Cricetulus griseus: one gene and its partners. The protein of the gene in region 1 purifies or fractionates together with the protein of each later gene. This does not show direct contact. Links are inferred from orthologs where the notes say so. Each region holds a gene or a part of one and is shown on either strand. Other genes may lie near its edges. The genes, in order: Sdc2, Camkv, Pdpk1 and Ampd2.

Region 1 (7,426 bases):
TTTTAGATACTGGAATGTACTACTGTTGGCACAGGTGTGAATGGCAGGCCTTCTTTCAGCCCTGGGAAGGACAGAATGATGGGGAGATCTTGTTATTTGGTTTTCTGGCAGGGGAGGAAGGACAGCTTGGTGAGAACCTCTGCTCGGAGGCATTCTTTCCAGGACCTGCTGGGTCACCAACCAGCAGACATGCCAATAGCACAATGGCTTGGCTAGACTCATTGTAAACCTTAATAACAGAGCTGGCTGGGCTGGGTATGGCCAAGTCAGTCTCCAGAAAGATAGTCCCCCAAAGACTCCAAGTTACCTATAGTCAAGTCCGGTGTGTGTGTGTGTGTGTGTGTGTGTGTGTGTGTGTGTGTATTGGGGGGGGCTTCTGGAGGCTTGAAAAATAAGTTTTGCTTTTGGAAAAACTAGCTGGCCTTTTAAAATTCTTTCTCAACTAATGATTATCCAAGGTGCCATTTGAATGATCGTGTTACCCAGCCCACTGGTAGACTGCTCTTTGAATGGCAGACAACACCAAAACAAGATATAAGACCTTGATTTGAACATCACATAAGGCATACATGGATCAAAATATCATAGGGTATCTGATAAGTATGCAACAGTACTGCCTACCTACTGATCAGCATTTTTAATGAAAAGAAAAAGGCATACCAGTTTCTATAAGCAATCGTTGTAAGACATACTCAAATTCCTTCTTGCACACCCATCCTCTGAGCTTTCCTTCTTAAATGACACAGTCTACTGCTAATATTGAGCAGAGAGATAAAGAGCCTTTGTTTCTGTCAGATTCTCCTGCACAAGTAATTTGCCCCATTAGAACTGACAAAATACATTTAGAGAAAGACTGCTAAGAACTATAGTATTTCAACTTTAATTTCCTTTCTAGTGCAAACTTTCCAGAGCCTGGCTTTCATGATGCCTTTTGCGGTAGTGCACGCCTCCAAATGACTTGACAGTTTCCTTTCATTTACACACATCTAAGCATGCTTATAAAACTCCACCAGTTCAAGATGATTCCTTTCCTTAAACATATTTCCAGTTCAAATTATATGTTTATAGAAGTCTGTGCTGTATTATTTCTCAAGATAAACAGTCATGTAAAGAAAATGGACAGAAAAACTAGCAGCATGTTCACTCTGCTCCATCCTCCCGGCAGTGAAAATCCTCAGCTGCCAGTGGAAAGCATGAGCAGACATAAGAAGCAGGCTTCCTCGCTTTCTCTGTATCCTCAGGAAGGGGCCCCAAGTTCCTCTCCCCAAACAGCTTTGAACCCTAGTGCCTGAGACGCATCCCTCCCCTTGGAGCTAAGTCTAAACTAAAGAATTCACTAGCTGGCTGCCGATGGAATCTTAAAGCTCAGACAATCACTACTTTTAAATCCTGGGCAGCACTGCAGTTTCCAAATGAAAATAAAAAGTTCTGGAAATAATGTTTTGTAACAGCTGAACTTTTAAAAGTCTCGTGTTTCAAGCTTGGGTATATTTATGCTGTTCTAGGTGAAGTAAATTAGAGACCGGATTGGGGGGGGCAGAGTAAATGGGCTATCAGTCAGTCGGTTTGGGTTTTGAAACAGCTTTTACTGAGAAAGATTGACTCACTGTCCAACAAAGGCTCTAGGTAGGATTCTCAGTTGACATTTTAAAAATATTTAATCACCCTTCGAATGATAGTTCAAGGGCTCAAAACATAATCTTTCCAATAAAGCTGTTCACTTGGAAAACATTCAATTCTGGTTTGAACTGAGAAAATGGTAGAGCCCCCAAAGATAAAAGACTACAAGAGAAATCTCGCAGGGAGAGAAGACAAGCACGATTCAGGGGGAAAAAAAAAAACAGCAACAAACCCCACCATACCTTAAGGAGTTGTCAAACCCACACAGAAACTCCAAAGGGTTTTTCTTGCCTGGAATCCCCAAATGGGAACATTTCCTAGCAAATCTCTCAATAGGGTTCTGCCAAGAAAAGGTCCTCCAACTCTGCACAGTTTAGCAGGAATCCACTCTGGAAATCATTTAGTTCTTTTGCCCTGCTTTGCAACAGATGAGCAATGAATTTTTTTCCTAAATAAACACAGAATAGCTCCCTTTTGGTTTACAACAAGCCAAAGTTCAGAACTAGCTGGGAAAGATTATTAATTCCAACGGATTAAACATCATTTGCCAGTGAGAAATCCTGTAAATATCAGAGTTGTACTTCTACATCCCAATAGCTGAAATATCCAGTATCCAATTCTAAGTTCCCCAGCCTCAAACAATGCACAGCGACCTTCTGACCAACACAGCGGAGCATCACTGCCCCCCACCCCCACTCCCACCCCCACCCATCACAAATGTCCATTTTATGCCGAATGCCAAAAGGTTTCCCAATCCCTAATTGCCTAGGGTCAAAATGGAAGAGACTCCCAAGCCCAGCTAAAGACATACAGTATTTTCGAAGGGACCTTTCCATTAATTCGAATTGGACAAGTTACTGGATGCCAACGTAGTGGCGTAGACAAGCAGAGGAAAGGAAAGGAAACAGTAGCACTCTCTGATTGAGAAGGCCGCCCTGGGACTGCATGCCGGGGCTTCCACCTGCCAAAACAGCTGCAGTGGCCTAGGTAGGGGAAGCCGCAGTAGTCGCGAGCCGCCGGGGAGGCAGTTACCATTAGAGGGCGTTCATTGGGCAATGCGGAGAAACAAACTCCAATCCCAGAAACGCAATCCTGAGGAGAAATCAAGTTCCCACCGCCACCGAGAGGGGATGATGCTGGCACTGGAAGAAGACAATCTCACAGGAGTACGAAACCCACAGGCTCATGAGGGCAGCAGGAGAGACGTCTCCATTCCCCAGAAGCCAGAGGCTCTGCGGACCATAGCAATGCCACAAGCACCCTCCCCTTTCCATTTTACATCAGTCCAGTGCCATCTGATTAATTTTCCTCTCTCCCCTAAAGCCCCGGGCCTCTCTCCATGAGAAGGGTTCGTGGAAGACGCCAGAGGACGGAGCTCTGGCCTCTTCCCGAAAGCTCCAGCAGCCGTGGCCTCCAACTAGACCACCGACTGCGTCTCCACGCAGTGTGGCTTCCTTGCCACAGCAACAGGGGGCATCAAACCAATGAACTTTTGCAAACTTTCCTCTCCCCCTATTTTCGAGTTTCTTTAACATGGGCCCTGTCTCCCTAAACTTGCATTCAGTCATGCACAAAACCTGGAGTAGAGGGGCCACTGTCTCGAAGAACAGACACTCACCAAAGTTTCCAACTCATCCCTGGCCCTTAGCGGTGCTCTCCTGGACCGCCACTCTAAGACCTCTGTCCTTCCTGGACCACACCACAAAATGCCCCGAGAGCGAAAAGTTGGGAGTGACTGCAGGAGCCTCTGAGATGCCATTCTGGTGGCCCCATCCCCGAAGACATGGGATAGCTCCCTGTAACTGCTCAGTTCTGCAAGAGGGGAAAGGAAGGGACCGGGGACGAGCTGTGGAAAAGCAAGCTCATTTGCCCCAGCACATTCTAAGTAGCCCCACGTCTACGGGTGGCAGACTCCCCAATTTCCCTCTGGCTCCTCTCGTAGCCTCAGGCACCCAAAACAGCGCGCGCCCCCGGCCTGGCCCACTCACCGTCTCCGCCGACACGCAGGCCATCAAGCCCAAGGTGAGCAGGATCCACGCGTTCTGCATATTCCCCCGGGGACGTGGCTCGCAACCCGGATGAAACGAAGCCCAGAGCACAGAACGGCGGGCCTGGAGATACCGGAGCTGAGCCGCCGCAGCGAGCAGGGCTCGGGCTCGGGCTCAGGCTCGGATTCCCGGCGCTAGCTGCTGTCTCCTCGGGCGCTCGCTCCGGCTTTCGCGCTGCGCCCCGGGAACGCGGCTCCTTCTCACTTGTTGGCTTCTGCGCTCCCAACCGGAGTCGCTGCTTCGGGAGGCTGCTTGGCTGGGCTGGTCCTGCGCGGCGGCGGCGTGCTTTCCCTCGGAAGACTCGCGTGTCTGATGTGAAGCAAGCAGCCACAGGCTTGTGAAGGAGCAGCGGCTGAAGTTTGGGATGCAGAGCGGCGGGGACGCGCGATCCGCGCGGCCTGAACTCCGGGGGTATCTGGAGCGCGGCGGGCGCCCGGGGGCCGGACTAGAGGCTCGGCCGCTGCGCCCCTCCTCCTGCGCGCCGCCGCCTCCCGGGTCCTCCCCTAGATCCCACCCCCCACCCACCCCTCCACGTCCTCTCCCTGGCCCTGCTCCGCCTCCGCCGCCTCCGCCCCCACCTTCCCTCTCTTCCTCGCCCGCAGCTCCCGGTTCCTCCTGGCGACTAGGGGAAAGCAGGCGGCAGCGACTCCCGGATAAACCCGGGAGAAATTCTTACAGGATCACACCGCGATTGGCAGCTTCCAGAGCCAGTGGGAGCCCTCGACTCCGTGCTGTGGCTGCTCCAGGAACGCGCCTCTGCAAACCTCAGGGCTCTTTCATTTTCTTGCTCCCCCTTTTCCCCTTCTCAACGTCCTCTCCGCTCTCCGCCACCTCTTTTTTGCCCCTCCTTTCCTTTTTCTTCGTTTTAATTTTCTGAAGCAAAAAAAAAAAAAAAAAAAATCCACGAAGGGCGATCCGCACACTGATCCTGATCCTGTTCTGGCTTATGGGGGTTAGGTCACTAGAAGAAACAGCGATGAGAGTCGGGAAAATGAGAAAGTTTATAGATTAAATTACAGTGTCCACAGGTCACCAGATCATGAAAATTGCAATCCAGAAAACATGAGAACGAGTATAACAAGTGTGTGTTAGATTATCCTCGACCCCCGACCCCTCCCCCGCAAAAAAAGCAGAGGAAAGGGAATCCGAAAACGCAACAGCTCCAAAGTGCAGCTTCGTAAAAGGTTTAAAAGCCATTTCTGCCGCTCACAGTTTATTTTCGCCCTCCACCCACCCCACCCCCAATCCCTCAGGCATCATTTAAGCTCAGTTTCCACATAGTGGTGTTTACATTTGGAAGCAACAAATGGGGATGAAAAATTAGATAGAAGTTCTAGATAATAGCAGATGAAAGGAAAGGTCAGAGAAGGGTAAAGTCGTTTCTGGATTGAAGAAAATAATAAATATGCATTTCCTGAGTGGAGGAGACTGGTCTGAAGTATCAGGCTTTGCCTTGCAGCTCAGTGCTGTGTTGTGCTACAGAACCAGGCAGGCACAGACCCTCCCAATTTCTACCGCTGTTTTCCTCTTTGATTTGGGAACTAAATGAATTATGGATTCATTTTCTTCTACAGTGCCCATTCCTAGAGGCCAGAACTTTTCAGACTTGGTCACTACTTTATTATCATTTGGGATACATTAAAAATACACAGTACCTATGTTGTACGTAAATACAAATCCAAAGCTCGAGCCATATCATATAAAAATTGTGCCCCTTTAAGACACTCATACATATAGATACAGCCATGAGGCCATGGACATTTTAGAACTCAGACTAAACTGTGGTCACATCTAAAGTGACTGTTAGGATGTTTCAGTGATAAGTCACTGTTATGGATCTCAAAGGAAAAATTAACAGGAGAATCATAAACCTTCGTTAAGACATTGACCCTATTTCAGGGAACTACCAACTTCCTGCCTGAGCAGCCAAAAGGGAGAAATGGTGAAATAGAAGAGTGAAGCTTGGCTTTTGAAAGAATCAGCTATGCACTTATGTGTAAGGTGAATACTTTGTGGTTGAAGAACACCATGAGAAGTGGAAGGTTTTCACAATAAAAATTAACACTTCATTCAAAAAGCTGTTAAGGGGCTAGAGAGATAGTGTGTAAAAGCTTCCTCTGAGATTGAAACATTCCATCCTGCAGGAAGCCCCTCAAGCAAGGTACACAACTAACTCAAAATAGCTTGGGGGGTGAGGGGGTGGGGGGTCCTGTTATGACCTTGTCACTAGGTCCCTCCCTGCCTGAGTAAGCAGTAGAGACAGAGCTATGCTACAAAATCTTAGAGGAGAAAATCTTCAAGAAGATTGAGACCAGACCAGTTGCCAGGAAGAGGTTTAGACAAACTGAGGCACCTGGAAAGGACACTCTCAAACCCCTTGAGCTGCCTGCAGGTGTACAGTGTGCGCCAGGTTCCCAGCTTTGTGAGCTGTCATCCGTGCAGAGGTGGCTTTTGGAGATGCAGCTGTCATTGAGTCATTTCTGTTCCTGTAAGTGACCCCTCAATCATATTGCTGTGGGTAACCCCAGTAAAAACCACTGGTTCACCAAATTGTACTTTAGTGGTATTTGTACATTGGTCTCTCTTGGGTTCCCTATCTGGGGTGCATAGATCTGTGTGCTGTGTCTCCCCAGGAAAAGATTCATCAGAACAGCTCAGAAGTTAGGAGCACTTATCACTTTGCAGAGGTATGGTTCCCAGCACTCATAATTGGTGAATCAGAACTTCCTGTAACTCCAGAGGGATCTCTGGTCACCACAGTCACCCGCACTTCCATGCACATAACCCACAGACACATAAAAATAAAATAAATCTGTTTTAAGTTAAACATTATCACCTCTGTCCCCACAAAGGACCCAGTCAACTTTTCACCCTTAAGGCTAGGTCACATATCCACACCTCTGTTGTCTCCAACAATTAACATTTGGAAGCTATGGCAAGGCTACAATTTGATGAGGAACTGGATAAAGACCATGAATAATAGCAGACATAGAGAAACATGAAGTAAAGAACTATAAAAGTAATTTCTATCTTGAGGAAAATTGGATTATGTGCTCATTTTGTTTGTCAAGTATCTACCTAACAAGAAGCTCTGATTCAGCTTGGACAGGAAGTGATAAAAATTAATAAGCAGATGTGTCTACAGAAGGGACCTATCTGTCAGCTTCCCTGAAGACAATCCCCAAAGCTCTTGGCATTTATTGGACTCTCCATGACTTACACTTTGAAGAAAAAAAAAAAAAAACTCAAGCCTGAGCTTTTATCTCATGAAGGAATTGGTACCATTTTGAGAGTCGCTATAAAGTGCACGAAAATAGATAATTATTCATCGCCTTGTGTTCAAAAGCATCCACAAGTAAGATGAGAGGGGTAATGTGGGAGTGTAAGAACGGGTTCCACCTGGGGTGGCTGGCCATGTCACCTATGCAGAAGAAGGATGGGGGAAGGGTATAGCCAATAACAACTAGTGCTCATCAGCCATGTCTCTGAATCTAGAAATTATGACTGCATCTTGCTAAGGGAATTTTTAATAAAAATTGATAGAGACTAAAATTCAGTTGAATTTTATGAGGTATATCTGTTGCAAGAAAGATAGCTGTGGCTAGACCAAGGATCATTCTCTGTTCTGAGGACCTCCAGCTTACAGGCTGAACGTTGAGGGATATAGCAAGGAAATCTTCTTAACTGCTGTCTTCCAAGTACCTTACTAGTGGTGCATCTCAGAAGAAAATATATAATGAGGTCCAGTGATATGGTTC
Region 2 (7,468 bases), on another chromosome or scaffold:
GTCAGTCCTTCAAGTGCTCAGCTCAGGGGATAGTTCTTGGCTGAAGCACATCACTCACATGGTTTCCTAGAGTCCAGAGGGTCCCCCATCAACATCATCCAGGTACATACTGGAGAAGGTGACCTTCACTCTCACCCTAAGCAATGCACTGAGCATCAGCCTCTCCTCCCCCACTGCCTTCCATGGGTTCCTCCCCAATAGGACAGAGGAAGCAAAGGCAAGAGGGTGGCCAGAGGCTTTGCAGGGTGACGTTTATTTGCCAGGTTCAGCAGGCACACAGTTAGCCCACCAACCTTCACATACCAGAGCAGACCCACAGGCATGCAGGGAGAAGGGCAGGACCACCATGGAGTGCCGAGCTAGGGCAAGGACCAGCGTGTGGCTGCCTTTTCAGGCTGTGACAGGGTCGGACCAAGGGCACCTGCCAAGAGCATCCTTCCAGAGACTGGGAATCTTATTCTACTTCCTCATCCCAGAAGAGCAACTTAACATGGCTGAGCGATACCTCAGCCTGTGATAGCAGAAATAGAGGAAAATCCTCTCCATGTTGCTGAAGAGCAGAAAATCTGCCACTGTAAAAAAGCAAACTCTCAAGCAGCCTATGAGGTACTGCCATGCCTCCCTGGGAGGAGTATTTAGGGCCAGAGGATTTATGGCCTGAGCCTGAAAGAGGTGGCCATGGGTAAGATCTCTTCCTGTGGTAGTGGCATCTAGGAAGACCATGGGAACACCAGCCCTCCCTATCTATCTCAGAATAAAGACCCAGACAGGTTGGGGCCCTGGTACTGGTCCTGTACTCTGTTCTCCTAGGTCCCACTGCTACATCCTAATTGTTTCTCCTTTTCTTTAGAGTTTCATAAGAACCAGGATACAGAGTAACCCACTACAGGACTAGGGAGGGCAAGAAACAACACAAGGATCTTCAGAAGGCCTACCCATGGGAAAAGACGGAAGCTTCTACTCTTCTATCAATTCTCTCCCCCACTTCTGAGGATCCCCACAGCTAATGTGCAGTGCCCCCAATCATGTGACCAGACTTGACTTAAAGCACACTGCCCTAGATTCTGCATCCTCTCTAGCAGCCAGCATCTACTCCTAGAGCAACCCACACACCACAGGTACACACCTTCATGTGCAGGAGCCTAACACTGCTGATAGGGCCTCGCTGGAGGACCAGCTCTCAGGGCAAGGCCACCCAATTTAGGGCCAGGGGAAGTGTGAGACTTGCAGGGCCTGCCTGGGGAAATGATGAGGCAGGAAGGGAAGGAGAAGGAGAGCAAGGACCCCCTGAGTATCCCTAGAGCAGTATCCCACAAGGAACAGAAAGTGGTGAAGCGAGCGAAAGACAGAAAAGCCACAAGGAATCCATGCAGGGGCTGGGGCTGGCCCTGCCTCTGGCCTACCCACCACTCACACACATCCACACAGGAGACAAGACTGCTCTCCCATGGCCCCCAGGCATGCCCCACTGGGATGAGGGAGCTTGGGGGGAGCTAGGGCATCATGCCAGTGACTCTATATACAATGAGAAGCCCCTCATCCACACTCCCACCCTCCTTCCCATCCCTCAAAACCCCCACTGGGCTGCCCATTCAGCTCATCTTCTCCCCCTGAGACTCCTGGGCACAGCCAGTAGCCTCTTCTCCTTTACTAGAGGGAGGAGCCTGGCCTGTGGCACCCTCTAGGGCTGTGCTGTCCGGCTGGGCCACAGCCGGCTCAGGGGTGGCAGCTGCCTTTGCAGCTGGCATGGCACTGCTTTGGGTGGTGGGCACTGCGCTCTCTTCTGTAGCTGGTGTAGCTCTGCCATCAGTAGCTGGTGTAGCACTCCTGTCAGTGGCTGGAGTGACACTCCCATCAGTGGCTGGAGTGATGCTCCCATCAGTGGCTGGGGTGACACTGCCATCTGTGGCTGGAGTTGCACTGCCATCTGTGGCTGGGGTAGCACTACGATCTGCAGAGGCTATATTATCACTCTTGGCAGCACACCCAGCTTCACGCTCTGTGGCTGCAGTAGCACCGCCCCCAGAGGCCGGGGCAGCTCCACTGGCAGCTGCAGCAATGGCCCCACCAGCAGCCCCAGGAGTGGCAGTGTCTGAAGCAGACTGGGCTGCAGCTGTGCCAGACTGCTCTGGTGCCCGGAGCCGTTTCATTAGAGTGGTCACTCGGACAGCCTTCTGAAAGAAGGACAGTGAAGAAAGGCTCGTGGTGAGGCTTGCTGGATCCACTCCTTCAAAATGGCTAACCCACCCCTTCCAGAGTACCCCAGACACCTCTGGCCACCCAGATGCTCAGTACTTCAGCTTAAGATAATAGCAGGAGCTACAGCCACATATGATAGCCTGAGAAAAATTTGTGTTCAGCTGAAGAGGTGCAGTGGCGGCAGGAAACTGTGGGTGCAAGAAGCAGCACTTGGAGCTGGGCCAAGAAAAAGCGAGCCAAACCCTACCTTCCACTTGGCTCTGGCGAAGTTCTTTTCAATCTGGGCACAGACTCCATCCTTGATGTTCTTATCAGATGCGGCATTACCAGAAATCCTAGAAAGGAGGCAAGTGCCTCTTATAGGATGCTCTGTGCCTTCACGGAGACTCCACAGCCCTTCCCTGTGTGATCTAGGACCACCAGGCAGAGCCTCTGGCTTGGTCAGAGATCTAGAAAGTCCCCCATCACCCTCAAGACCTCAAGGATAAGGACTTGTGGTGTAAAAAGTTCAGAGAACAACAGAAACTTGGCCTTAACTTCCATCCTCCACAGGGCCCTGCTCACCATTCATGGGAGATGGCCTCTTCTGCAGTGATCCGCTGGTCTTGCTCCACCTCCATCAGCCTTGTGACCAGGTCTTTGGCTGGGGACAAAGCCAGGGATGGGCTAGGCATGGGCGCCCCATCTCATTGTCTAGATGTGATGAATGGGCTGGGGAGCAGGAGTAGAACCCAGCAGAAGCTGAGAGCAGCGCCTCCCTCCCTACCGCCCGCTACTCTGCCCGCATGCTGGGTGTCTCCTCACCTGCCTGAGAAATATCATCCCAGTATGGAGAGTCAAACTCATAGTCACCAGCCAGGATCTTGCGGAAGAGATTCTTATCATGGTTCTCATAGTCATCTTCTTCTACCTCCTCGTAGAAGGGCGGGTTGCCTGAAAGGCTGCATGGAACAGGGTCACCTAGGATGGCCACAGACACTGCTGTGCAGCCCACCTGGCTGCAAGCCCAATTACGTGCCGTTTCACTCACAGGATGTACATGATGACACCGATGGCCCAGCAGTCCACGGGGCGTCCATACCGTTGCCGTCCTACCACTTCCGGTGCTAAAGAAAAAAGTGTCCATCTGCAGGTCAGTATCAAGTTTAGCCAGATATCATACCACCCATTACCCACCTTCTGGGAAAGAGACTTGTCCCTACCCCAAAGTCTCTCCCTGGTGCCCGTCCATCCACCATCCCGTCCCATCCCTCCTTACCCAGATACTCCGGGGTCCCACAGGGCTCCTTGATGAGGCCATTTTCTAGCTTAGCCAGGTGGAAGTCACTGATGACAATCTTTGAGTTCTTCAGCCTGTTGTAGTACACTAGGTTTTCCAGCTGTCCAGGAGAGAAGGGTAGAAGGGCAGGCAGACGTTATCATGAGGGCCTCGGAAGCTGCTGGACCAAGAGCCCCATGTGGCACTCACTCCAGCCCCAGCCCAGCTGTCAAACGATCGAGTCTCCCTGGCCCTGGCCTTACCTTGAGGTTCCTGTGGACAATCCTGAGTGAGTGCAAGTAGGCCACGGCCTCCAAGACCTGCCGCACCACGTTGCTCGTGTCTCGCTCCGAGTAGTAGCCCTGGTCCAGGATCCAGTCAAACACCTCCCTCCCCGTGGCCCTGAGGGACACCAGCCCCTGAGCCCGGCGTGGGCAGGATCGGGGGTAGGACAGGAACATTTGGGAGGCCTGACTTATAGCAGGCACCTGGCTGGGTAGGGCCCAGGGCCTTGGGACCATGAGGGCTCCAAAAGTGGTTTCTTTCGTTATAAAAGGAAGGGAAGGAAAATGCCCCAGGGACTGGGGGATCCTGGAACCCCAGAATTGTACTCACAGCTCCAGGAAGATGAAGTATTCCTTGCGGGTCACAAACACATCTACCAGCTGCAGGATGTTAGGGTGCTTCACCCTAGTAGCAGTGGGAGGAGTCGGTAGTCAGGGCTGGGTGAACCCCAGAGAAGCTCTGGTTCCTAAGGTGGTGGTGCTTCCTGAGCCCCCTGCCCGTTATGCCCTTCCCTGCCATCTCTCTCCCCTCAGTCCTCACACTCACATCTTGAGGATGCCAATCTCATTCTTGGCAGCCTTCCGCACCTTGCGGCCATCACGCTTCTGGAACTTCTTGCAGGTGTGCAGCTTGCCTGTCGTCTTGTCCTTGGCCCGGAAGATTTCACAGAACTCCTCACTGAAGCCAGCAGGCACTCCGCTCAGCCTAGGCCTTGGGACAGGGGCACCCCATTCCCGCTTCCCCAACTCTGGTCTATCCACCCGTCATTGCCCAACATGCCCAACACTCACGTCTTGATGACCTGTCCCAAATCATATCTGTCAGTCACCTCCGATGGCTGGTTATAGTTCTTCTTGTCGCCCAGAGTTACACACCCAAACGGCATTGCTAGGCTCTAAGATGCAAGCAGAATGGGGTCTGGCTCAGCTGGACCATTTTCTATCCCTCACCCTACCCTCCAACAACATTGAATCTGCTTTTGGAAAACCCAAGCCCAACTCAGGTCAAGTGAAAGGCAAAGAAGGCAAACACAGACCTACTTTGCTTTTTGAAGCCATACTGCAGCCACTCAGTCTGGCTGCTTGACCTACAACAGCTCCCACTAAGCAAAAGTTTACTAAATTGACATATTAGGAAATAGTTTTTCATTATATACACTTGAAAAGACTTACAGAACAATTTGTTTACTTATTTAGTTTTGATTTTTGACACAGGGTTTCACTATATAGCTCTAGCTTCCCTAGACTCATTATGTAGATAAAGATGGGACTAAACCATCAGTTTCTTTAGGGTCAGAGAGATGGCTCACCAGGTAAGAGCATTTACCCTCCAAATCTGAGTTTGATCCCTGGGACCCAAATGATGGAAAGAGAACCAACTTCCACGAATTGCCCTCTGACATCCATGCACATACTATACTGCCCCCACAAATAAATAAATGTAATCTTAAAACAAAACAAACAACAAACCCCACAATTTTTTAAAAGTCAGTTATGATAACTCACATTTGTCATTCAGCACTCAAGAAACTGACATAAGAGGATTAGCATGAGTCTGAGGCCAGCCTGGGCTATAGTGAGAAACCCTATTTCAAAAAATCAATAAAGCGGGCAGTGGTGGCGCATGCCTTTAATCCCAGCACAAGGGAGGCAGAGGCAGGCAATCTCTTTGAGTTCAAGGCTAGCCTGGTCTACAGAGCAAGTTCTAGGAGACCCAGAGCTTTTACACAGAGAAATACTATCTTGAAAATCAACCAATAAATAAAGATATAAAAATATTTAAATTTCAGCTATTCCATGAACATAAATTTAAGTTTATTCCAGCAATAATTTTTGTGGGTTTTTTGAGACAGGGTTTCTCTGAGTAACAGCCCTGGTTGTCCTGGAACTCACCCTATGGATGAGGCTGGCCTTGGCTTACCTCTGTCTTCTGAGAGCTGGGATTTAAGGTATGACCCACCACCTTTGGAAATTTTTTTTTGAGATTATAATTATCATTTCCCCTTCCCCCTCTTCTGCCTTTCTGTAATCAAATTCATGACCTCTTTTTCTTTAGTTGTCCTGGTGCGTGCGTGCGTGCGTGCGTGCGTGCGTGCGTGCGTGCGTGCGTGTGTGTGTGTGTGTGTGTTTATGTGTATGTGTTCCTGGTTATATAACCTGTTAGGATCTTATAGTGTTATTTGAATGTATGTTTTTCAGGGCTGACAATTTGGTGTTGGATAATCAACAGATGTGTTTTTCCCTGGCGTAGACTATTCTTCCACAGCAATCCTTAGCTGCCTGTAGTTCTTTATCTAGGGCTGAGGTCTCACGAGCTTTCCTCCATACTAGTTATTTATCTCTGATGGTCTAGAGATGACAAATTTTGACGAAGCTATGGACAAAATGAACACCGCTGGAAGAGGGCAATTCCCCCTTGAAAAAGCTGGGAGCCAGATGTGGTACACAATTGAAATCCTGGCACTTAGGAGGTGGGGCCAGGAGGATCAAGGAGTTCAAGGAAGCCTCAGCTACTTGATGAGTTCAAGGCCAGCATAGGCTACAGGAGACTTTGTTGTAAAGGACAGAGCAGGACAGGACAAGGCCAGTCTTGTCAAATATACTCTATGTGCTTCTTTTATTTTTTATTACATATGTATGTGCATATGTATATTTGTAGGTGTGTTTATTTAAATTAGAAACAAGCTTGCTTCACATGTCAATCCCAGCTCCTTCTCCCTCCCCATGATTATACATTTTTATGTGTATGGTGTTTGGCCTTCATGTCTGCCTAGGTACAACATGCGTACCTAGTGCCTATGGAGGCCAGGAGAGGGGGTTGGATCCCCTGGAGTTACAGTCATGAGCTGTTGTGTGGGTGCTGGGAACTGAACCCAGGCCCTCTGGAAGAGCAGCCCATGCTTTTAGCCACTGCACAATTTCTCAAGCTCACTCTATGTACTTGAAATATTTGCTCCACCGAAATGCATACATTTGAGCCAACTGTGCCCCAGGAGTTCCAGGCCAACCTGGGCTACATAGGGAGATCCTGTCAAAGAGAGGGCGGAAGGGAGAGAGGCAGACACACATTTATGCCTCAGGACACTTGTGTAAGAATGCTCATAATTGCTATATCCATAATTGCTAAAAGCTGGAAAGAGCCCAAATACCCAGCACCAGCAGGCTGTATTGTGGTACAGTCATATAATAGAATGTTATACTGCGAAGGAAATGAAGGAGCTATGGGTCTACTCAGCCAAATAGTGTGTCTTTCAAAAACGGTGTTGATAGAAACAGGAAAAAATGCATGTAGTGTGAGTCTATTGATAGAGCTCAAAACAGGCAGAGCTCACCATACTGCTGGGGATTCAAATACAGAAGTAACACTGTACAGAGAAGCAGAAAGTAAGTTCTAGGAGTCACAGTGGTTCCTCCGAAGGAACAGGATAGGGTGACTGGGTTAGGGCACATGGGAACCTTCTGGAAGACCTGTTTCTCAACCTGAATGAACTTTATATCTTGGTAAACATGTACATGCAGGGATCTGGAGAGATGGTTCAGTGTTAAGAGAGCTTGCTGCACACATGTGAGGACCAGGGTTTGAATCTCAGCACCTGCATGACAAGTCAGATTTCTTGAACATGCCTGAAACCCCGGCTCCAAGGGTGGACAAAAGATGACTGCTGGAGCTTGTTACTTCTAGCCTAGCGAAAGGTATAGGTGGAGAGAGACAGAGAATGCTTGATAT
Region 3 (6,935 bases), on another chromosome or scaffold:
AACAGGAACAGGTTAGATGGACATTATAAAAATTTACAACTATATAACAATATATCCTCCAATAGACTGACAGGTAAGTTGAAGAAAATGCTGGCAAAATATAGCTTTCATATATGCAAGTCTTAAAATCAATTTATAAAGATGTAAAAACACAAGAATACAATGCAATTCAAGCCCCAGCCAAGGTCCCCCAATAACCTCTGGGAACCTGTTCCTCTGAAGAGCACTGTAGAGATGAGGCAAGGACAAGCAACCAGCCCACATCTGCTCCCATGCACCCTGTATTTCTAGATGGGGTGCCGATGCCTACAGTTCTTACCAAGGGTTTCCACTGGCTTGTTTTTCCAATAACAATCTTTTCTCATCTTCTGAAAACTGTAAGTCTAGTTCAAATGAGTTAGTGTCCAAATCATGGATGTACTGCTCTATGTTGCTGCCCGACCTCTGGGGCAGGCTGGTATCCACCGCAGACAGCGAGTGGGAAGAGGAGGAGGATGACACCTGCATGCAGCCAAACTGACTCAGGAGATTGTCATACTGCAAGGGAAAAGGAAAGGAGAGACGTACCTTAATTTGTCTGTAAGGTCAAAGACTGCCTCCCACATTGCCTGGCCCCCACAGCCGCTCACAACCTGGTAAGCTTACATACTCACTTCAAATAGATAGACAGAGTTTCTTCCAATGACCATTTGGTCACTAAACCAAAGCAAGGCTAGACCTTCCTGCTATAAGTTCCTCTTCTGATAGAAACAGAGGTCAAAGAGGGGCTACACTACATCCTTTATCTCCAGGGAGAAAGAACCTGGGACCCTTACCCAGCACAGCACCCCAAGGCAGGAACCTCTAGAGCAGCTACCCTCTGACAAGGAATTCAACGCTTGGGCAAACTTCTCTTTTAGAGTTGGGATCTTAAGTTTCAGAGCCACTGCATAGTCTGATTTAGCTTATATTTGTTTTATTTTTTAAAATATTCTTTAATCTCAGCAATGATTCTAGGGGAAAAAAAAAAAAAAACACAAGCAGAATGGGCAGCTCACATTCTAGCACACTCCCAGGCAATGACAGGGTCAAAGATCTTTGAGCATAGGTGGGAGGCAGTTACGTTGGCTGCAGGCCTCATACCCCTGAGTCCTGCCTTCCATATCCTGAATTTCCAGAAAGAGAGTCCTGTCTACTACACTCCACAGAGGTCAGTCCCTACCCTCTGCAGAGTCTATAGTCCTATGCCCACCTTCTCACTGTTGCCCAGTGGCACTTTGCAGAATTGATGCCTGCATAGCCTCCAGCAGTAATAGCTCCATCTTGCTGACTCCACATTCATACCCTAGCGCTGTCCCCACTTCCTTCCTGGAGGGTCCCCAGTAAGAGAAATCATGTCCCTGCATCAATTTACAAAAATTACTGCCATGCTTCTACTGGGACGAGGGGTGTCCCTACAAAATCTTTCAGAGCCAATAAAGTGGCTTCAATTTCTAACACAGAAACTGAAGCTCAGAGTCAAACTCCTCTGGCCAACACTGAATTTAAAAGCAGCACAAAGCTGCTGCTCCACATCACTGAGCTTCTCCATCCATGAAAAAGGAATACCTGCAGAGCAGACTTCCTCTGTCGCAGCGTTCTCTAAGCCCAGTCTGTCTAAAGGTGAACTCCCACACAGGAAACTCTGTCTAGGTGCTTACAAAGCCCTTAAGACATACCAGAAGAGCTAAGCAGCCACGCAACAAAACCAAGTTGCTGCCACTCAGAGCCAGATTATACAGGTAGAAGTCAAAGCTCCCCATAAAAAAGCCCTGTCCTCAACAATGCAGAGCAGGCCCTCAAAGATGCTTAGGTGAATATGCATGTAAAGTATACATGAAGAAATGCTCCTGGCTGCTAAGATAGACGATAATGGAGTCGATTCAGCCCTTTCAAAGATCAGCTGCCTTTGGGAGTGAAAGGAAGGGACAGAAACCATAAGGTGAAGGACTGCCTACCATTCCTGGTTAACTCCTGCAGAAATGAGAGTTCCAATAAAGAGGACACCAAGGTTTCCACCAGCACCCTCTGACATGACCCAAAAGGACACCACTCATGAGCATTTAGTAGGCAAGTGGGGCAGGGGCAGGAACTCCTGGCTCAGGGCCTTTCTCTGCAGTGAACACATGCAGAAACTGGCCACTGGCCACATAGATGCACTTGAGTTTCATTCCCTACAAGTCTGGGCACAAAGAACATTTTAGGAGAAAATGGGGATTGCCAAACAGCAAGTAAAACACAGATAATTCCTTGATCTCTAAGAGGCAAAAACAGCAATACTTCTTTAGAAGTATTTAGAAGATCCTCTTTTGTTTGGGTTTTTTTGTTTGTATGTATATCTTGTTCTGAGACAGTGCCTAATTTGTAGCCAGACTGACCATGACCTTTCAATCTTTCTACTTATTATTTTATGTATATGGAACTTTTGCTTGTGTGTGTGTGTGTGTGTGTGTGTGTGTGTGTGTACACGCACGATCACACAATGTGTGTACTTAATGTTCCCAGAGGCCAGAAAAGACGTCAGATTCCCTGGACATGGAATTACAGACAGTTGTGAGCCAATATGTGGGTGCTGAGAATCGAACTCACAACCTATGGAAGGACAGAAAGTCATCTTAACCACTGAGTCATCTCTCCAGCCACAACTTTCAATCTTCTTGCCTCAGCTTACTGAATGCTGAGAACGAACACACACACACACACACACACACACACACACACACACAAAAAAAAAAAAAAAAGCCTGGCTGTTTTGGAAGGCTTTCAGGTAAATGTCAGAATTGCTCAGTCAGTTAAACAGAACTCCATGGATGGCAACTGGTTAGAATAAGTCCAGAAAACAGAAATCAAATGAGAAAAAAATGAGTTGAATCAATGAACTATTAAAAGAAAAATTAAATATGGAGATCACAATGGGAGCAGAGTCTGGGTAAGACTGAAATCATGGGTGCTAGAGAGATGGCTCATAGGTTAAGAGCACTGGCTGCTCTTCCAGAAGTCTTGAGTTCAATTCCCAGCAACCACATGGTGGCTCACCATCACCTGTAATGAGATTTGGTGCCCTCTTCTGGCCTGCAGGCATACATGCAAACCGAACACTGTACACATAATAAATAAATAAATAAATAAATAAATAAATAAATAAATAAATATTTAAGAAAAACAAGACTGAAATTGTGGAGGAACACTGTTGCTTCTTATTTCTGTCTCTTTTGCTGGTGTTTCCCATTTTTCAGTGTAGAAAGTTTTAAAACTAAAGTTTATTCAAGGTCTCATATATGTCTATTGTCAATTCTTCAGAGACAAGCTGCTTTGAAGCCAGTGACAGCAATTGCACACAAACCCCAAGGGGCAGCACCCCTGAAACACAGTATGCACCTATTGCTGAGCATCAAGCTACAGGGACTGGAGTCTACCCTCCTACACCACATCCCCGGAAATTCAAGTCAGTAGCATTCTGGGTTCTCTTGAAAAAAATAAGCATTTCAGAACATTAAAAAAAAAAAAAAATCAGAAAGGCTCTGAGCCAAAAGCTGCCAATGATGAGCTTCCTGGGCCCCAGTGTCAGGGGGTGAGGGATTAGGGCAGGACACTGGTCTCTCATGCACAGGTCCAGACCACATCCTGACCTCCCTCCCATCCATATCCCCCAAACAGGTAAAAGTTCATCAGCTGAGGGAATAAGAACAGGAACCAGAAATAAGAACACCTACACAAGGTGTGTTGGTCATTTACTTAGAGCAAAGTATTAAACCACCACCAAGTCCACCATGTTCACTCATACATTTTAACCAGTAATCACATAAATTAGAGTCCCAAGGAATCATACTTATACAGCATGGCAAGCAGATTTCTCTTTGCCTGAACTAGTCCCCATGAGTGCCTGCTTACGTTGCCATAGCAGTCTTCATCATCCTCTGACATGGCTGGCAAGTAAGCTGTGAGCTTCGGAGGTGTCTGCTGGTGCAGATTCTCCCATGTGATGGATTCAAAGAATGGATGAGCTTTGAGAGGCTCGTACCCTTCCATCTCTTCACAGCCTAAACGCTTTGTGGCATCTAAAACCTTAAATGATAGCCAAGACATGTCACTGTCAGGGTTAAAATGTTAAGTATTTGTTTATTTATTTTGTGCAAGTGTCAAGCCCTGAGACCTTTTGGAAAGAGTAGGGACACTGTGGTCCATACCCCGGCCTGCCTATGCTGTAGTAGAAAAAGCCAAGATTGACCAGGACTCTTACCCTCAACCCAAGACTCTGCCCTTTTCTTTCCACAGGTAAAACAAATCTCAACCTCAAAAGACAGAGGGTGGCAGCAAGCATCTTTTTAAAGCATGCAACTAAAAGTGTTATAAAATGATATGAGCCCTGGTAGGCTGACCACACACCAGGGCAGGCCTCACTCCCAAGACTATCTGGGCAGCACAAACTAGACTTGAAGAAATTCCAAAGCTAGAAAGGGGTGGGAAGATAATAATGGAAGATGTTGGGGAGTGTTTATGTCAAAAACACAATTTCTGAAATTTTCAAAGAGTAAAAATATTGTTTAAAAAAAGAGAGAGAAAGAAAGAAATGCTTACTATTGAAAACAAAAATGCTGCCAGGTGGGTGCACTTGGGAGGCAGAGGCAGGTGGATCTCTGTGAGATAAGGTCAACCTGGTCTACAAAGCAAGTTATAGGACAGCCAAAGCTATTTGCACAGAGAAACCCTGTCTGGGGAAAAAAAAAAAAAAGACAAACAAAAACATAAAAAAAAAAGAGAGAGAGAACACAAAAATAAGAAATGCTAAAAAAATAAATAAATAAAAATAAAAAAGAAAGAAAAGAAATGCTAACTAAAAAAGCCAAGTATGGCATGGCGATGTATAACTATAAGCCTAGCACTCAAGTTGAGCAGGAGGGCTGTCAAGTATTTTAGGATAACTTGGGCCAAACAGCAAGACTCTGTCTCAGAAATAAATAAATGCAAAACTTCTAACACAAGGGGAAAAAATGAACTGACTGCCTCTAAGAACAAAGAAAATGAACAATGAGGCTCTTACTGAGTATAATATCATACCTCTTAAAGGCTGTGGCACAGTCACTCCTATGCCTGCAAAGTTGAATTAAGCCCACTCCGTAATGAGGGAAATGAAGGAAAGAGACCAGAAGAATAGCTGGGAAGAGCCAAACCTGGGCCTACCCATAAATATAGGACCTGGCACTGATTCCCAAAGAAATAGGAAGAAAGGAGATCAGGCTACAAAGCAAAAGGGCTGAGACCCCCAGTTTTTGAACATAAAATGGCACCTCTTTCTCTGGTTCTCTCTGCCTTGTTACTTAGGTTGATCTTTAAAGTCTTCATGTAATTTACACTCTAAAGGTGATATTGGCAGATGTCACTGAAGCAGGATTTACAGCCATCTGCCACTGGAATAAACCCAGTCACTCAGTGGCAATCACTTAAAATGTGACATGATGTTAATGAACACACACGAAATAATAAAGTAACTTCCTCTCTTATTAAAGTCAAGAAATAGGTACTGAGATAAAAATACTTATCTATAATTACTGTCTATCTTAAACACATTTTTCAAAAGGATGGCCATGAGTGTGACAGAAGTCAGAAGGTAGCTATGATGATTCCTTACCACAGAAAATTTAAAATACTTACCAAGAGTTTTTCCACAAGATCTCTTGCCTTAGGAAAGAATTTCTCTGGGAAATCATATTCCAGTTTAATGATCTTCTGAAATATAAGATATTCATTTCTGTGAATTAAAAAAATTGCTGTTATTTGGGCAAGGGTTTTTCAAATCTCTAATACTAGGTACACTTTTACAGAACATCCCAATGTCACCCTCACCTTCCAGGCCAGATCTTACTAAAGTCCCCAGGCACCACATATTCTTAAGTTATGGTGGAAGTTCCTCCCCACTGGGCACAACCTTTGTCCAGACCTCCCAGCAGCTGTTGGCAATGGAGTATGCGGTGATAGGCTCAGAAGCCTAAGATGTACAGAATCCCTCTTACCCGGCTCTGAACGGTGGGAGTCCTGCCACAAGCTGATAGATTATACATCCAAGAGCCCAAAGGTCTGAACTTTAAGAGAGGGAAAACACAAAGAAAAATGGGATTGGTATAATTTAAATGATAAAAAAGGTTCACTTTGCAGTCTCTTGTCTGTACCACTCTACCTTCAGTCTCTAATGTATTCCTATCGCTTAAGACAAGGTTATGTGGGAAGTTTGAATTTGCTTTTCTAAGCATCTCCCTGTGACCTGAGTCAAATGGTACTATACTAGGCAGGAACACTACCAAGTGGTTCAGCTCCCCTGAAGATGTCTATTGAGGGCTAACAACTTCTACATGTCCTTGTCTCATTCTGAGGAGAACATAGTTCATTGCCAACATCATGCTATACCAGGATGCTGCATATCAGGTAAGGTGGGAGTTGAAGAATGCTAACCAGTATTAACAACTTTAGGAGGTCTGAGGGAGAATCTCCTAGTTCTAGGGAGTGGGGCTGGAGAAAAGTTTTGTCCCTGTAGGGTGATACTGCTATAACTAATTCAAATGCTCTCTGGGCATGACTTTGGCTCACCTCAGAAAAGATTCAAAAGCTGGATACATGTGGGGCTCAAAAGGACCTTCCCAGGATGTACACTGTCTTTCCCTTTTTGAACTCTATCAAGAAAGTCCTGCCCCTCTTTTAAAAACATTTAGACTATCCATTTTACTTGTAATTATTTTTTTTTATTGAGATAAGAGTCACTGTGCTGCTCAAGCTGACCCTAAATTCACAAGATTCTCAATCCATCCTCCTGTCTCAGCCTTACATGTGTATCATTCTGAATGTCTGTAAGTAGTTTCTATAATGTAGCTAGATATCCTAGGTGCCCAGCTATCAGGAATCCTGAGGTTAGCCCCTTTCCTGTC
Region 4 (7,661 bases), on another chromosome or scaffold:
GGAGAAAGGTCAGGTGGCCATGCTTTCAAGCCCTCTGCCTCCCTCCCCTGCAGAGCCTGGGCAAGGGGTGTGGGCAGAAGCCAGGGTTCCTGGGAAAGACTTAGGATCAGGGATAGCTAGGCATGAGATGAGAGGTGGCTGAAATATAGGGGTATAGCAACGAGGATAGTCTGAGGTGAGGAGGTGTGGGAGTGCCAGGTGATACCTCTGCGATCTCCTTGCATTTGCCATCCATAGACGTGCGAAGGTCGAGTGGGAAGTGCTTGAGGCAGGGGGCAGTGCCAGGTAGGGATCGGGCAGACTGCAGCGGAGAGGCCCCCAGACCACCCCTAGCCTCTGCAGAGACAGTGATGACAGGGTCAAGGAGAGGAGGGGCAGGGCCTGGATGCCTCTGGAAGCCAAGAACCCCTTCCTACCTTGGGGCCAGAACCTATTAAAAGCCAGGGTCTAGACACTGGGCAATACTTCTACTGAGGCAAAAGAGCCAGCCATGTGGGGGTCCCAAGGGAACTCATCCATATCTACATGGAGGCCCTTTACTACCCCAAGCTCAGGGATGAGGTCCTGTGCCTGCCTGTGGAACAAATGAATCAACTCTGCAATGAGAACTTGAGGTAGGGGTGGCCCACTCCCTTAGATCAGGAGAATCTATCTGCACGTGACCTTTCCAGAAAGGGTGCGCATGTACACACGTACTTGCATGCACATGCACACACACACACACACATACACACACACACACACACACACACACACACACACACCAAGTACTCATTTAGGATCAGTGGCCACACTAAGGACCATCAGCTTCTCGGGCACTAATCCAGGGTCAGATCTGCCCCTGACCTAACAGGTCCTTCCCTGAGAAGAACAGAACAACCACCTACTCTCCTAGACATGAAGGCAGAAGCAAAGTACAGCAGCCACTCAGCTCTGACCCAAGAAGCAACTATCAAGGAAGAGGACCTGGTTGGCAAGGAGCCCTCTCTCCCCCTGGAGGCCTGTCCTCTCCCTAGGACCCCAGAACTGCCAGGATGAGGGCTGATCCTAGGCTACCCCTCCCACTGCTGGCTGCCCCTCTGAAAGGAGCTACCAGTCTATGCCTCTTGGAAGCCCTAGGATCTGGGCTGGAGGCTCCATGAAAGGCCCTGAGAAAGGGAGAATTAGAAGCCAGGGGTCTTTCTACTCCAACAAGGGCAGAACAACTCTACATGGGCCTCACCACGAGGTTAATACTGTAGGTCTGAAGCTGCTAGTCTCCTAGACTGCCTAAGCTCCCAGGCCACCAGGAAGGACCCTTTTGGGTCCTTCAACAGTCTTAGCCTCCTCCTGCAGGAAGCTGTCCACAGACCATTTGGTCCTCCCAGCCAGCTGTAGAAGATGCAATCCCCCCAGAACCCTCGACCATCTCCACTGTCATAGAAAAGGATTCGGGCTCTGCCTTAAGGTCTCTGTACCCATTTCTAGTGCTCCAGGTACAGTCCCAAAGCTGGACAAAGAAAAAGGAGCTTGACCTAGATCAGGACCCAGCTACCGACTTGCCTTGGTCTCTATTGGAACCCTACCTGCAGAGTTCAAGAGTGCTCTGGTCAGCAGCCCTGTGCCCCTTGCCTGCCTGTTTGCCTTGTGAAGCTGCAGCCAGTCCCCCAGGACAGCTCAGGGGCTGGCATGGGCTGTACCAAGTGCAGCTATAAGCAGGGGAGACCCTGGGATGGCCCCAAGTAGGGGGCTGGGAGAGTTCAGGGGAGTTTAGAAACCCAGAGAAGGTGCAGGAATTGGGAGATGGGAAGAACTCTAATTCTAACAGGACCTTAACCTCTTCAGTGCCAGTGAGGCCAACCTAGATCCAGGGATCTCAACAGGGAGAAACAAGACAGACTGAGATGGCCAAGGCAGCCTGGAAGGGAGGGGCCAAGTCTCCTTAAAACCACAGCCCTAGGGGACAGAAAGTGGACACAGCCTGGCTGGCCAAAGGGTAGGAAGAGAGACAAGGGAGACCAGCCATGGTCCCCTGAGCCCTACACCTCTGGAAAGCTTCATCTGTCCACCCCAGGTCTTTTGGGCCCTGACTACACTATGGACTCTTGAGGAGAAATAAGGCCTTTGCTACATGCAGAGGCTGGCTGGTAGTTGGACCACTGGCCTAATCTGGGTAGGAGCTAGTTACAGAGGCTTCTTAGCATACAAGCCAGTCCCAAGTCCATTATCAGGGTAGGGGCAAACTACTCAGGAAGAGTAACTTGGAACATGGGAGCAGCATTTGGAAAACACATAGGACTCTACTTTTGTTTATTTGCTTGCCTTAACCTCTGGACAGAGGCTATAAATGGGTGAGAAGTGGCCTTGTCCTATCTGGCCACAGCCCCAGGACTCACAGGGGAATGATCTACAAGAGTTCTGTAAAGCTTAGGACTCTGAGCCCATGGGGCTACAATCAGAAATTCCTAGGACGCTCCAAACACTTAAATGGAGACCCTTCATTGAGGAGGGTGAGAGGCCTTCTGAATCCAGTGTAGGGGTAAAGGCTGCTAAGTAGGGGAAAGCAGTGAAGAGAAAGGGATATTGTAGGGGTAGAGAGGCTCTCCCTTGCAAGAAAGAACTGGAGGAAGAGGCAAAGATCAATACCTACCCACCCAACCTAGGGTTTCAAGTCTTTGATTATCAAGAACCTAGATCATAGGCCAGGCAGTGGTGGTGCATGTCTTTAATTGCAGCACATGGTAGGCATATCTCTGCGCTCGAGGCCAATCTGGTCTACAGAGCAAGTTCTAGGACACCACACAGAGAAACAAACAAACAAAACAAACCACCCTGATCCTACCTATGCTCTTAAAGACGGCTCCAGACCATTTGGGGGTTTTGTTTTCTGTCTTTTGCATTCCTGGGACCACCTGAGGCCTTGTGTGTGCTAAGGAAGTCCTCTACTACCGAGCTATATCCTCACCCTTTTCTAGTTTTACTTTCAGGCAGGCTCTTACTAAGTGTCCAAGCATACCTGGAACTCATGATCCTCCTGCCTCAGCTTCCCAACTAGCTAATTACAGGTGTGCATCACTACACCCAGCCACCAACCACTTCTAAGTCCCTGAAGGTAGACCACAGAGCTGCAGAAATGAAGTTAAAAGCCCTCATTTTAAACCCTTTCCTGTCAGGTAACCCTGGGCCTACAGAGCAGGGCTGGGTGAGCAGGAAGGGTTCCAGCAGCCACAGTCATCTTCCTAGTCTGCCACACAAAAGCAAACAACTGCTAGACTCACCAGAGGTGACACACCAGCAACAACCTCCATACTCCCTCATGCCAGATCCCGTCTCCCTGGTTCAGTGCCAAAAGTTGGCATCACAACATACATATGATGATACATACAGCCCAACGCCAAGGGGGGATCACCCCATCAGCTCCAAGATTCTGGTGCCTAGTCCTTCCTCTTGACTAGCCCCTCACTCATTATCAAGACTGCCTCACTAGGCCTCAACCCCAGGGACAGGATGCTCTCAGGGTCTAACCATCTAAGGGTCTCTAGCTCAGCAATAGAGTAACCAGCACAGAACTAGCTCCAGGGCATACACCCGGAAGACTCAGATCCAAACACACAGTCTGAGACACAGATCTGAGCACACAGGTCAGCACAACACAAAGCCCTAGCCAAGCATTTTTGGCAGCATAAAAACAAGCTAAAGGAGGGTAGTCAGGGTGTAAATAGAGCTATGAGGGGTTAACAACATCCAGTCACCAAGGCGTTTTTCTTTAGCCAGAACACTTGAGAGCTGCAGACACCCACACCCCTGGAAGCACAAGCTCAAGTAGCTAAGTCCTCACCAGGATGGACACTCGCCACCACACAACCAGTTGCAAATGGTGCGGAGATGCCCACATAGTAGGAGCCAAACCCAAGGGTGCAAGGTACACAGCCCACCAGACATCTCAAGGGCTGCCGCTCTCCTGAAGAGGCTCACAACACAGACCAGGAACAAGCAAACAGCAAGGATAGTAGCAACGGAGCCCTACCTCTGGTGTATGTGCCAGCAATGCATGACCCCAGATGTCACTCACCGATGAGGGAGTTCTAGATCTAGGGCCTTGGAAAGAGTAACAACCTGAGCCTGCCTGCTGTAGGCACAGGCACCAAACAGGGTAGCCAGTCCGCAAAGCAGTCATCAGTCCCACACCCTCCCCACTTCATTCACACACTTCACACACAGTCTCAGCATCTGCACAAGCAGACACGTGTGCATATACGCCTCTTGTGCACACACATCCACACCCACTCCTTGTTACGGAGGGCAGCATCCCTGACATGGAAACCTCAGACCCCCCCCCCACTCCCTGCGCCACCCAACCCAGTCAGTCAGCCCTAGAACCGAAGCAGAGAGGCATCACTGCAGAGAGGGTGCTGCAGAAGGGGGCCCTCTCTGAGGCACTAGGTGGCCTGGACAGGAGGAGATGGAGGAGCCCCATGCCTGAAGCCAAGAACACTTACCTGGAGCAGCAGCGGAAGCTTGCAGGCTGGCCCGCTTCTTAAAGGGATATTTGGCCTTGGACTTGCCTGGGCCAGAATAGGATGCCATGGCTGGGGCCAAGGCTACAGCGGAGGAACCTCACCAGCTGGGGCCAACCTCTCTCACATCCAACCCCTTCCTCCGCCCCGCCCCCAGCGGGAGTGACTGATGCAGGAAGCAGCGCCCCGCAGGCGGAAGAGGCCCTGGCCACGATTTCTGATGTTGTCTAGGCAACCTCGGGGAGTGGGGCCTCCATCCTGCCCCTTATCCCTCCCTTCCCACTCCAGTCCCTAGAGTGACGTGACTGATGGTGGCTGGGACTGGGGTGGGGGTGGGGGCGCAAAGAAAACAGATGGAGCAGCGCCAGCTCGCAGCTCTGCACCACCCTCACCCCATCTCCGGAACCCTCATCCCTTGCCAAAGCTTCAAGGCAAAGAAGCCAAAGTCCAGGCTAGGCTCAGCCAGAGAGAAAAATAATAAGAATACAGCCTGAGCTTCTCCAGCCTCAAAACCCATTTCCTCCAGGGAGAGGGCAAGCGTACTCAAGAAAACCCAGAGCCTCGGGGGCAGAACCCACTCTTTTCTTCTCCATCTGACCCCAGCTCTAGGGACAGCCCAGGAGAAGGAGGCTGAACTGAGAATTCGAGCCCAGAAGGGAGGAACCTGTCTTGGGAAAATTCCACTGACCGGCAGAAGCTGGAAGTCCTCCTAGGAAGACAGGAAGAGCCGGAGGCAGGGTCTTGTTGAGGTCTGTGGGAAAGACCCCAGGCTCCTCTGCTTGTCTCTCTGCCCGCACACTCAAGGTCTGCTTCCCTAGACCTTTCCAGGGTCTGCTCACACTCCTAGCAAGACCTGACCCTCTTGTCACCCGGACAAGGCACCTTTGTCCCGGGATCCCTCTAACGCCAACACACGCGCCACACGCTTACCTGAGGCCATACTGCCCGAGTCCCGAGTGGTACCAGGGAGGCTGCCTAGTCTACACCGCGGGGAAGCGCGGCTGAGGAGAGGAGAGGGCCCCACAGGGGCGAAGTCGCGCCCCTGGCCCCTGCACCCGCACTGAGGCGGGAAGGAAGGCTGCTTCTCAAAATGGCCAGCTGGACGAAGGCGGACTCCCACGGGCTTCAGCTGCCAGACTGACCTCAGGAGACCCCGGTGTCGCGACCCCCAGCCCGCACTCAAGAGGAAGCAGGCCACGTGCTCCACAGAAAACCGAACCCGGAATTCGCCTAGGGTTCTTTCACTAGTTTCTGGGAATCAATTAGAGATCCCAATCCCGTGGCGGGGCCGTGGGGCAGTCGCGCAACAGGTGCGACCCCGCCTAAACCTTCCCGGCTGCGCGCCAACCTCGCTTGCCCCAGGCCCCGCCAAGTCTGCGGTCACGCCCCGTTCGGCCACGCCCCCGGCCCTCTGGCCACACCCCCACCATTTTCCCTGTTTCCTTAACGCCACGTGGGCGCCACCCCGGCCAGGGTTGGCCTGGCTTGGCCCTTCCGTCTTGGGCGGCTTCTGTGGGTCAGTTTCCTCATCAGTAAGATGAAATAAGGTAATGATAGTGTCTCATTCAAAGGACTTACTGAAGATTGAATGTAAAGTCCCTTTGCACAATGCCTGGCACAAGTCAGGAAGCTATTATTAGGGTCCCAGAATCCATTTTAAGCAGAAGCCCTGCCCTTGCATTCCCCGCATTCCCACCTGAGTCTGTTTCCTTCTATTAGCCATTGGCCCTGAAGGCTGGCTTCCTCATCCCACGTTAGTTTCTATGTTGAGGTTAGACGAGCCAGAATGTCTAGGTTCAAATTCAGGCATCGCCACCTACTTCCTGACTGGCGCTGAAATTCTCGGTGCTATTTCTGTAAAATGAGTATCTGCTCTATATGATACTGGTGAAGATAAGTGAGTTAATTATAAGTGCTTAGACCTGTGTCTGGCCTGTAAGTTACTACCCAATCAGTGTTCATGTAACATTGCTTTGGTCTGGGATCCTTAATGCAACTCATTGACTCTCCTTGTGGGTTAAGTGTTTGCACAGGGCCACAGCCGGCCCTCCCAAACCAGCATTCCCATATTCAAGGGCCAGTCTTACCTAAAGGAAACCTGTAAGGGGAAGTCCCCTTACCTTTATGAAAGTAATTACCTTTATGAGAAGCAATTGTTCCCTTGCCCTTGAGGGAGTCCTTTGCCTACACACACACACACACACACACACAGCTGTTCTAAAGGTCTTACCTCCCCCACACTACATCCCTTCCCTCCTGTCCCCACCCTGAACTCTGGGTCCTGAGCCCCATTCTCTCTATATCTGAGGCGGCCTCTAGGGTGTCTCCTGTCCACCTGTCTTAAACTTTGCAAATAATTGCCTTGGGATGGGGTGAGGGCTGGGTGGCAGCATCCCTCTGTCTTACACGTGAGAGGCAATGCCCACCATGGCAGGCAAAAAGACAAAAACACAAACAAGAAACCCCCTACAGTGGCCTCCAGAAACTTGGGAAGGCAGTGGGGGAAATCCAGTTCACAGAGCATCAAAGACTAAAATAGAACAAGAGATACCTTGTTCTTACTTTGTTATGTTTAAATATCAAAACAGGGCCATTAGAAGCTCTCAGTACAGATGAGGGTGTGTTGAACTAGACACAGGTTATGTGGCCATAAACACTAATATAATCTAAGAACCATCTAGCAAAATATAATCAAGGGTCTCAAGTTTTACTGTTTTTGACTCCTAACAAGTCTATTTTTTTTTTTGAAGATCAAAAAATAATTTTATTGGTGTTTAAAGGAAAAGCTCAGGGCATGCAACTTGTGACTCTCAGCAGATGCCTGCAAGAGAAGGGAAGACATGTTTAAAAGAAAGAGAAAGAAATAAAAGAAAGAAAGAAGTTATACCTTTCTCAATCAGAATTCAGGAGGATGGGCAGACCCAGCTAATCCCATGGCAGCTTCTAGGGATTTCTTCAGGGGGTGGGAATCACAAAACTGTTCTTTAAAAAAAAAAAAAAAAAAAGAGTTCTCTGAGCCTGGGCAGTCCCAGATCCCGGGAGGCAGAACCAGCAGGATTTGAGTTCGGTGCCAGAGGCCAGCCTTGTTTACAGAGTGAGTTCCAGGACAGCCAGGCATATACAGAGAAACCCTATCTCAAAAACAAAACCAAAACCAAAAATAAG

The links.
Region 2: the proteins of Sdc2 (region 1) and Camkv purify together in Homo sapiens (affinity purification with mass spectrometry; 3 studies listed by BioGRID and IntAct, counting the BioPlex papers as one, with this or other methods). This does not show direct contact. The link is inferred for Cricetulus griseus from reciprocal best matches to the Homo sapiens genes SDC2 and CAMKV.
Region 3: the proteins of Sdc2 (region 1) and Pdpk1 purify together in Homo sapiens (affinity purification with mass spectrometry; 4 studies listed by BioGRID and IntAct, counting the BioPlex papers as one, with this or other methods). This does not show direct contact. The link is inferred for Cricetulus griseus from reciprocal best matches to the Homo sapiens genes SDC2 and PDPK1.
Region 4: the proteins of Sdc2 (region 1) and Ampd2 purify together in Homo sapiens (co-immunoprecipitation; 3 studies listed by BioGRID and IntAct, counting the BioPlex papers as one, with this or other methods). This does not show direct contact. The link is inferred for Cricetulus griseus from reciprocal best matches to the Homo sapiens genes SDC2 and AMPD2.

The regions. Positions count from the first base shown.
Region 1 is NC_048603.1:17,615,833-17,623,258, forward strand, and holds the start of Sdc2 (syndecan-2), read right to left. Parts: upstream 4,159-7,426; 5' UTR 3,669-4,158; coding exon 3,609-3,668; intron 1-3,608. UniProt on the Homo sapiens protein: Cell surface proteoglycan which regulates dendritic arbor morphogenesis.
Region 2 is NC_048597.1:216,130,232-216,137,699, reverse strand, and holds the start of Camkv (caM kinase-like vesicle-associated protein), read right to left. Parts: upstream 4,629-7,468; coding exon 4,534-4,628; intron 4,421-4,533; coding exon 4,289-4,420; intron 4,148-4,288; coding exon 4,073-4,147; intron 3,860-4,072; coding exon 3,721-3,859; intron 3,579-3,720; coding exon 3,458-3,578; intron 3,306-3,457; coding exon 3,230-3,305; intron 3,141-3,229; coding exon 3,004-3,140; intron 2,843-3,003; coding exon 2,764-2,842; intron 2,535-2,763; coding exon 2,447-2,534; intron 2,175-2,446; coding exon 1,593-2,174; 3' UTR 1-1,592. UniProt on the Homo sapiens protein: Does not appear to have detectable kinase activity.
Region 3 is NC_048600.1:43,632,062-43,638,996, forward strand, and holds part of Pdpk1 (3-phosphoinositide-dependent protein kinase 1), read right to left. Parts: intron 6,099-6,935; coding exon 6,030-6,098; intron 5,768-6,029; coding exon 5,671-5,767; intron 4,084-5,670; coding exon 3,910-4,083; intron 538-3,909; coding exon 320-537; intron 1-319. UniProt on the Homo sapiens protein: Serine/threonine kinase which acts as a master kinase, phosphorylating and activating a subgroup of the AGC family of protein kinases.
Region 4 is NW_023276806.1:49,048,320-49,055,980, reverse strand, and holds the start of Ampd2 (AMP deaminase 2), read right to left. Parts: upstream 5,164-7,661; 5' UTR 4,567-5,163; coding exon 4,479-4,566; intron 337-4,478; coding exon 206-336; intron 1-205. UniProt on the Homo sapiens protein: AMP deaminase plays a critical role in energy metabolism. Catalyzes the deamination of AMP to IMP and plays an important role in the purine nucleotide cycle.